Arabidopsis thaliana: one gene and its partner. Each later gene encodes a partner of the first gene's protein in a complex. Each region holds a gene or a part of one and is shown on either strand. Other genes may lie near its edges.

What was found.
Region 2: the proteins of FTRA2 (region 1) and AT2G04700 are in contact, whole or in part, in a crystal structure (PDB 7C3F), measured with the Arabidopsis thaliana proteins. Residues at the interface, in NP_568195.1 of Arabidopsis thaliana: Leu116, Lys117, Val118, Tyr119, His120, Val140, Trp143, Lys146, Lys147, Ile148, Ser149, Ala150, Asn151, Leu152, Phe171, Thr172, His173, Leu174, Lys175, Glu178; in NP_001323778.1 of Arabidopsis thaliana: Arg88, His89, Tyr90, Asp92, Ala95, Glu96, Gly98, Gln99, Phe101, Trp102, Val107, Pro108, Arg110, Glu111, Arg112, Lys113.

The regions. Positions count from the first base shown.
Region 1 is NC_003076.8:2,709,269-2,712,356, reverse strand, and holds FTRA2 (ferredoxin/thioredoxin reductase subunit A (variable subunit) 2), read left to right. Parts: upstream 1-1,758; 5' UTR 1,759-1,768; coding exon 1,769-2,383; 3' UTR 2,384-2,547; downstream 2,548-3,088. Other genes in the region: AT5G08415 (Radical SAM superfamily protein), read left to right, coding at 211-301, 419-576, 789-960, 1,083-1,193, 1,297-1,374. UniProt on the Arabidopsis thaliana protein: Variable subunit of the ferredoxin-thioredoxin reductase (FTR), which catalyzes the two-electron reduction of thioredoxins by the electrons provided by reduced ferredoxin.
Region 2 is NC_003071.7:1,645,141-1,649,589, reverse strand, and holds AT2G04700 (ferredoxin thioredoxin reductase catalytic beta chain family protein), read right to left. Parts: upstream 2,784-4,449; 5' UTR 2,630-2,783; coding exon 2,530-2,629; intron 2,442-2,529; coding exon 2,329-2,441; intron 2,161-2,328; coding exon 2,111-2,160; intron 2,038-2,110; coding exon 1,966-2,037; intron 1,499-1,965; coding exon 1,438-1,498; intron 1,290-1,437; coding exon 1,245-1,289; 3' UTR 553-1,244; downstream 1-552. Other genes in the region: AT2G04690 (Pyridoxamine 5'-phosphate oxidase family protein), read right to left, coding at 3,555-3,676, 3,759-4,117, 4,200-4,235. UniProt on the Arabidopsis thaliana protein: Catalytic subunit of the ferredoxin-thioredoxin reductase (FTR), which catalyzes the two-electron reduction of thioredoxins by the electrons provided by reduced ferredoxin.

The sequences.
Region 1 (3,088 bases):
GTAACTTTTATTTGATTCCTGATCTGAGTAATCTGCTTATATTGTCCTTTAGATTCTCTTCATGGTCGTGTTCAGAATTTTTAACTAGATAGGATAAATGGAGAGGGGATGAAAATTAAAAATAGTGTCTCTCAACAGTCACTACTGCATCTTTGTTAATTTATGATGGGTGTATCATGATATGCTATTTTGCATTTTCCTTTGTTGCAGTGTAGACTACATAGTTATTACCAGCGTAGACCGTGACGATATACCTGATGGTGGAAGTGGACATTTTGCGCAGACTGTCAAAGCTATGAAGGTTATTAATATTCTATTTGTTTATGCATTATGTTATTTAAGCATACCTTTTTGTGCATTTCTCGAATGTTGTTTCAGAGTATTTATGAAAATGAAAATATATATCTCATCTCTGTAGAGACATAAGCCGGATATAATGATAGAATGCTTAACTTCTGATTTTCGTGGGGATTTGGAGGCTGTCGACACTCTTGTGCACTCGGGATTGGATGTTTTTGCTCACAATGTCGAGACTGTGAAAAGGCTCCAGCGACTTGTGAGGGATCCTAGGGCTGGGTGAGTGCTGTTTCTTGTTCTTCATTTTTTTATATGTTCTGCAAATTTGGTTATGGCATAGATGGGCTGAGCAGTGAATTGATCCTCTGCTCCGGGATGTCAATCTCATATTACACAGTCAAATATCTCCTAAAGTGAGACATAGGTGGTGTTCTGCATCTTTAGTTGTAGTAAATCTCCATTTTAATGTGGATATAATGTGGAGAATGCAGATATGAGCAGAGCATGTCAGTTTTGAAACATGCAAAGATCAGCAAACCTGGAATGATCACAAAGACATCCATAATGCTTGGTCTTGGAGAAACAGACGAAGAGTTGAAGGAAGCAATGGCTGATCTAAGAGCTATAGATGTTGATATTCTAACACTTGGCCAGTATCTACAGGTAAACTAATCACTTCAACATTCCCCACATCATTCGCAATATTCCTATTTCCAAGATAGAAAGATCCCAAATTTCAAAGAACATCTACGATTTAAAACCGTTTCTCTTGTTCCACAATGAAGCCAACTCCATTGCATCTGACTGTGAAAGAGTATGTCACACCTGAGAAGTTTGATTTCTGGAAAACATACGGAGAATCAATAGGATTTCGTTATGTTGCAAGTGGTCCACTGGTAAAGCCACAAACTATTTCTTACTCTTTATGTCAAAAAATATCTGAGAACATAGAAGATACAGAAATGTACTTGTTTGATATTGGATATATACTTTTTGCAGGTAAGATCTTCATATAGAGCAGGAGAGCTTTTTGTTAAGACAATGGTGAAAGAAAGCTACTCTAAATCCTTGTCTTAATAACAACAATGGCTACTATAATGCCAAAAATGATTGCTGAGACCACAAAGCCTTCTTCCTATCTTTTTTGTTTGTTTCTTTTAATAGACTTCATTTATTTTGGTAATTGATTTGGAAACCATTGTGGATATATAAAAGTTTATATATACTAGTTTTGTGTTATTATAAAATCCTGCCAATAATATCTGGAAATTGTCTCAAGATATTTACAGTGTTGATTCTCTATCTGAAGCCACAAGTTCCTCATCTCTTACATTGTCTTAAGTCTGACACGCGTCGCCTTTCTTTATCCAAAAATAATCCGACTTTTAATTTAAACCAAATAATTAGCAAAATTAGTAATCACCTTGATTAAATTAACCATCTAATATAAATAGATGAGGGGCTAAATGATATGATCTTTTTTGTTTTCTCTCACACTTTCTTAAGATTTTTTTCTTCGGCTCGGACGCAGATGACTAACAGTTACGCTCTGTCACCGGCGATTATCGCCGCCGTTCGTCCTCCGGCATCTCAAGACTATCTAGTTGCTGCTTCTCTTAGTGGACGCAAATCGATCAACTCTTCATCTTCGTCCATTTTCGTACCTATCTCATTATCTACTTCCTACGGTCGAAGCAAATGCGCCTTCTCAATCTCGCGGAAGAATCCAAAATCGACGATTCGTTGCGATATTGCTGTGAAATCGGCGGCTTCTGTAGACGCGGACGCTGATCTATCGTCATCTACGTCGTTGGAGACGGAGGAAGACGAGAAAGCGAAGGAGAAGATTGGAGCTAGGGTTAGGGTTACGGTTCCGTTGAAAGTTTACCATGTGGTTCGTGTACCGGAGGTTGAATTGATGGGAATGGAAGGTTTTATCAAAGATTACGTCGTTCTTTGGAAAGGAAAGAAAATCTCAGCTAATCTGCCGTTTAAGGTACAGTTCGTGAAAGAGATCGAAGGTCGTGGTCCTGTCAAATTCTTCACGCATCTTAAGGAAGACGAGTTCGAGTTAATTGATCCGTGATTGAATTGAAAAAGGCAAAAACTTTTCTTCTCTTTCTGATATTAGACTTGAAAAATCTTTTGTGAATGGTTTGTTTGTATGTACTTTTGTATACATTTAGCTTATTATATACATAAGATTTCACCCATTCTTGAATCCTTTATTGCTGTTTTCTTGCTTCTGATTTGGTTTCCCAGAGTATATAGTTCGTCTTGTGTTGGAGAAACTAAAAGCTGTCTATTGATCCATTGACTAGCTTAGAAGCCTATCAAACTGATTTTGCATTTGATGTGTTCACTTCAAATGAACATCATTGAATGATCTTATCCTCAAAATCTATCATCCGTTGGAGGTTATGAAGTAGATGGTAGTGAGCATGAAAGTGGTAAAGATATTGGTTTATGTAACTAAAGAGTGTTTTCAGTTGATTGTTATAGTGAGAATCTTTGTTTGTAGTTAGAACCAGAAACTAAAAGGAATGACATCAGTTGTTTTCTAGGTTCTTATCCTCTTTGTTTCGTATAATCAAATGTGGGATTGCATTCTCTGATCTTTGTAGAAGAGTCTTTGAGTTAGAAGTAATGATGGCATGAGAGAGTGTTGAGGAATTAGTTTATGTGTCAATGTGGATGGTTCCTTTGCTGCAACTCTTTTTTGTAGTAATAATATGAGTATATGATGTGGGCAGTAGTATTGTGGTAATTCTTCTCAAGTTGTTAGCATTTT
Region 2 (4,449 bases), on another chromosome or scaffold:
CATATCCTAGAGCATACAAATACAAGTCGGATCGGTGAAAACTAGGCTCGACCTCGATCCACCGGTTTTGTCCATAATACGGGTTCCAAACCACTAGCTTAGCATTGTCTTTCGTGATGTTTAACAACAAACCATCGTAGTGAAAGACTTAAGCTACATCTACTTCATCTGATCGTCTAGGTTAGTAAATTTAGCTTCATGCTTTATACACGATTCAACGTTGGTGTTTAGATTGATGTGCGTCAAATAAACCCTAAAATCAATCATCATGATTACGATAAACTCCTTTTTTCTTTGCTGTACTTTTGCATGACCAACGTGCTTCTTTACAAAGCTCAAATCTTTGAATAAAGTGTTCCACTTTTTGCATGTAAATCAAACTGCTCTTAGAGATTTCATCGGAACCCTAGAGAGGATCTTCTCTACCGTATCCCTTGACCAAAATTAATGTAATGTTAACCTTCGAAAAACAACTCTTTCCAGACTTCTTCCGTCAATTTAAGACATCCTTGACAATGACAACAGAACAACAAAATTACAAACCCTAAAAGGCTTAAATTGAACTTAAAAGCCCAAAACCGATAGTTATGATGGAAATTTATTCATTCAAATTGAAGATAAATAGCGAAGCACTATTGTACAACCAAGTTTCTTCTGATCAGCATAACTAGAGAGGAATACAACAATAATCGACTCTTCATGTGAAGAATACTTTGACATCCACGCATGGCTTGCCCAAAATCCACAACTTGCAAGTATAGAGGCCGTTCATACTTGGCACATGCGAATGCGACATAGAACATTGAACATCACGAGAGAATGGTTGCAAAGAATGGTTACTGTAAAGACCATATCACTGCTTGAAAAAACATAAAACTTGGAGATTGAGATCCGAAGAAGAAGAAGAAGCAAATGAAATACGTTATGAGAAAACTACTGATTTAAGTGGATTGATACTGTTATGGAAGCTTTGGCTTTGAGAGATGTGAAAGAGAAACCTTTAGATCTTTTAAGCTTACTTATTGAAGATTTCGTGTAAAGTTGGATCCTTTTATATAGCTTGTAATCGTTTTGCAAACAAAAGATCATACTAAAGAATATTATCTTAAGAGTGAAAGAGTTGTACAGAAGAACGAAGAAGATGCTCGGGGTATCAATGTACAAGACTGCATTTGGGGCGAGACATATCTCTCTTTTTTTTTACCTAAAGAACAGAGGTGATGAACATGGAAGAACCAGCTCTCTCACATGTTAGCTGTAGTTTCTTTTATTTCATCCGATGTAATCGTCTGCAAGATTCAAACAAGAGAAAGAATTAGAAATCCATATACTATATACTATAGGTTCCCAAATTCCCAATACTACTAAGTTGCTTCGAACCATTAATGGTATCCTTAAAATGGAGACAGAACCTTCAAGCTTTGATTTGAGATTTACCTGATCTTTTCCAGCGAAATCATTATCAGGAGTTAAGAAAAGCATACAATGGCACTCCTTCCTGATGAACAAGTGATAAATACTTTAGTACAAGATGTAAACAAGCAAGTATTATCAGAATAAACCGTCAACAGATGCAAAATTGATCGAACTCTACTACCTAAACTAAGTCCTATTAAAACACAAAGGATCTTAAATTTGCGGTGTATCAGAATTTGATCAAAAGAGCCACATAGGCCAAGAGTTTTACAGGAGTTTTCTAACTATGGTTAATTCAATTTCCACTTGCCTAGCAATATGTGAATACATTCTCTGCATCAATCTTGATACAACCAATACGGAGCATCGGCTACCTCTATGGAAACTACAACATACGTATGCTGCTGAATACTATCCAACTAATAACAACAAGGACGTTGGAGACGATCTATATAACCAGCTTTTCCCAAAGGACTTTATATTCTTAGTTCTAACTATATAGCAACCCCAATGCTTATTATGCAACCACATGAAGAAGATAGTTCTTACCTCTCTCTCATTGGAACACACGGACAATTCCAAAAGCCTTGTCCAACCTCAGCAGCTTTATCATCATAGTGTCTACATCAACAACAAAGGATCAAACTTTACGAATACATAGATAGTTCAAGATTGCTCGGAAGAAGCAAATCACCTGCAAGGGCAAAGCGGTGCACCATATGAATCTTTATGCTCAGCCAAACCCTGCTCACAAAGTTAAGCATTAAACCTCAAGATGTTTACATTCACTAACTCATAATCTACAAGTAGAAAGACACAAGCCACTTCAATAGTTAAGCAGTTGATCACAATCTTCATATCAACACAAGTTCATCTGAAATTTCAATAAGCTCCGATTGAAATCAAGAGTACCTTAATAACGACTGAAGTAACTCCTTTATCAACACAGAAGTAAGTCCCAGAGCGACGAGCATATTGCTCGGAGAATTTCCTCATAATCTCTACTGATTTCTCCGACGGTTCCGCTGCAAAAACAAGAAGAAGATTCAAGATGAATCCAAAACCGAAATCACAATCACTTTAAACAAAGATCTAGGGATTCAAATTGTTTACTTTTCGCTCGGATTACGAAGCGACGAAACGAAGTTCTGGGAGTGACACCAAGTGGACTCGAAAGGAATCCGAAGCTACAAGAAACAGCTTGAAGATTCATCGAGTTTTTTCTGGAATTTGAAGATCGATGAAAAGTTTCGTCGTGGACTTGAAGATTTTTCTTCTCCTCTTGAAATTTGGATTCGTTTATGCTTTTTAGATCGAAATTTTCAGATATTTTTTTGTGTTCATTTTCCAGAAACCAATGCTCGCCACTCACAGAGAGAGAGACTCTCAGAGAATGATAAAGCTTATCCTCAAACCGGAAATAACCGGAATTCGACCATCGAATCGGTTCAAACTTTGCTTCAAAACTTTCGGTTCAATTCGGTTTAGATAAAGAATTTGAGTAGAATTATGAATGAAAAAATCGAGTTTTGGTTTCGGTTCGAGTTGGTGAAATTAGTTTGGTTCAATTGCAATAGAATTCTGATTTGGTTTTAATTTGACTCCAACGTGGTTCAATTACATAAATTTCTAGTTTTATTTTGTTTTAGTGTATTGGATTCAATTCTCTTATGAAAGTTCCGGTTCAATTATGTTTAGATAATAGAATTTAAATTTTAGACTAATGAATAAAAAAAATTGGTTTATTCGGTTTAAATGAGAAATCAAAACCGATTTTCGTTTCGGTTCACGTGGAAGAATTTGTTTTGGTTCAATTGCATAAATTGAAAAGTATTTTGGATACCTTTGAAATTGCTTTGAGGTAATTTACAAGAGATTTTAATATCTATTATGGTCCAAAACAAAGAGTTATTTACAGAAACAGTTACACACTTTTTATTGTTCATCCAATATACATTTTCTTGCTTCACCATTTGCTTGATTCTTGTGAGTTATTATAAAAAGGAAGCGAGTTTGATCCTGAAAACAGTTCAAAAGAACTAAGAGATCAAATGCGAAAAAGGCATACGATTCGAAAATTTTCATAGTTCGGTTTCTCAGAGATTACCGATGTTTTTAAAAGGGTTCACGCAATGTACTTACGACTTGGCATGAAGGTATTCATCTACAGTGATAGGTTTAGCTCCACCATACCAATTGATGAGAAATATATCGATGATCTCGAGTTTAAAGAAGCGGAAATCATGATCCTTAGGCCAATCTGCAAATGATAAAACCATCACATGATAATACAAATCTATCATGAATCTGTATCTTAAGAGATGAGTGAAACAATTAATCACCCATCATCTCTGGATGCTTTGTGAATAAAGCCTTTTTGGCTACTTCTGCTTCCTCAGATCCTCCTTCCAATATCAGCAACTGAAACATTATAATAAGATAAAGACCAAAGCATTTTACAGTAAGTTTCTTTGTCGTGTCAATAAGAAAAAACTCTTTTACCTTCCCGGTAAGGGTTAGTTTAGAGCAAGTAGGATTCATTGGATCTCTTGTACAAGTTCCAAGAGGAGATTCACTAATTGCAAGTGAAGCTCTCTGGTCTTTAAGTGCGTTTCTTGCAGTTGGATCAAGTGTTGTTAAGTAAAAGTAAGGTATACCGTTACCTTTCTCGGGTAAACCATCACTAAACGATACAACATTCCTGCAAATAGAGACCATTGAGATCTCAATAATGTCAAAGCAAGAAAACACATTGTGATATGATTCATGGAAAACAAGATTACCCGAAGGGAGCGCCTTTATGATCAACGGATAGTGTGCTGGAAGAGGAATACAACACCGCAAAAAGAATTAGTAATACACAACTGTTACACTCACATTACCTTGCTGATAACAACAATGCAACAATCTCTTTCACTAATAAAGATCTCAGGTAACTATAGTGTATAGAGTGACCAGTGGTAACTACAGAGTATAGAGGAACCATTTGTTACTCCTAGTGTCAAATCTGAAATCCTAAAAACCTTTCAATTT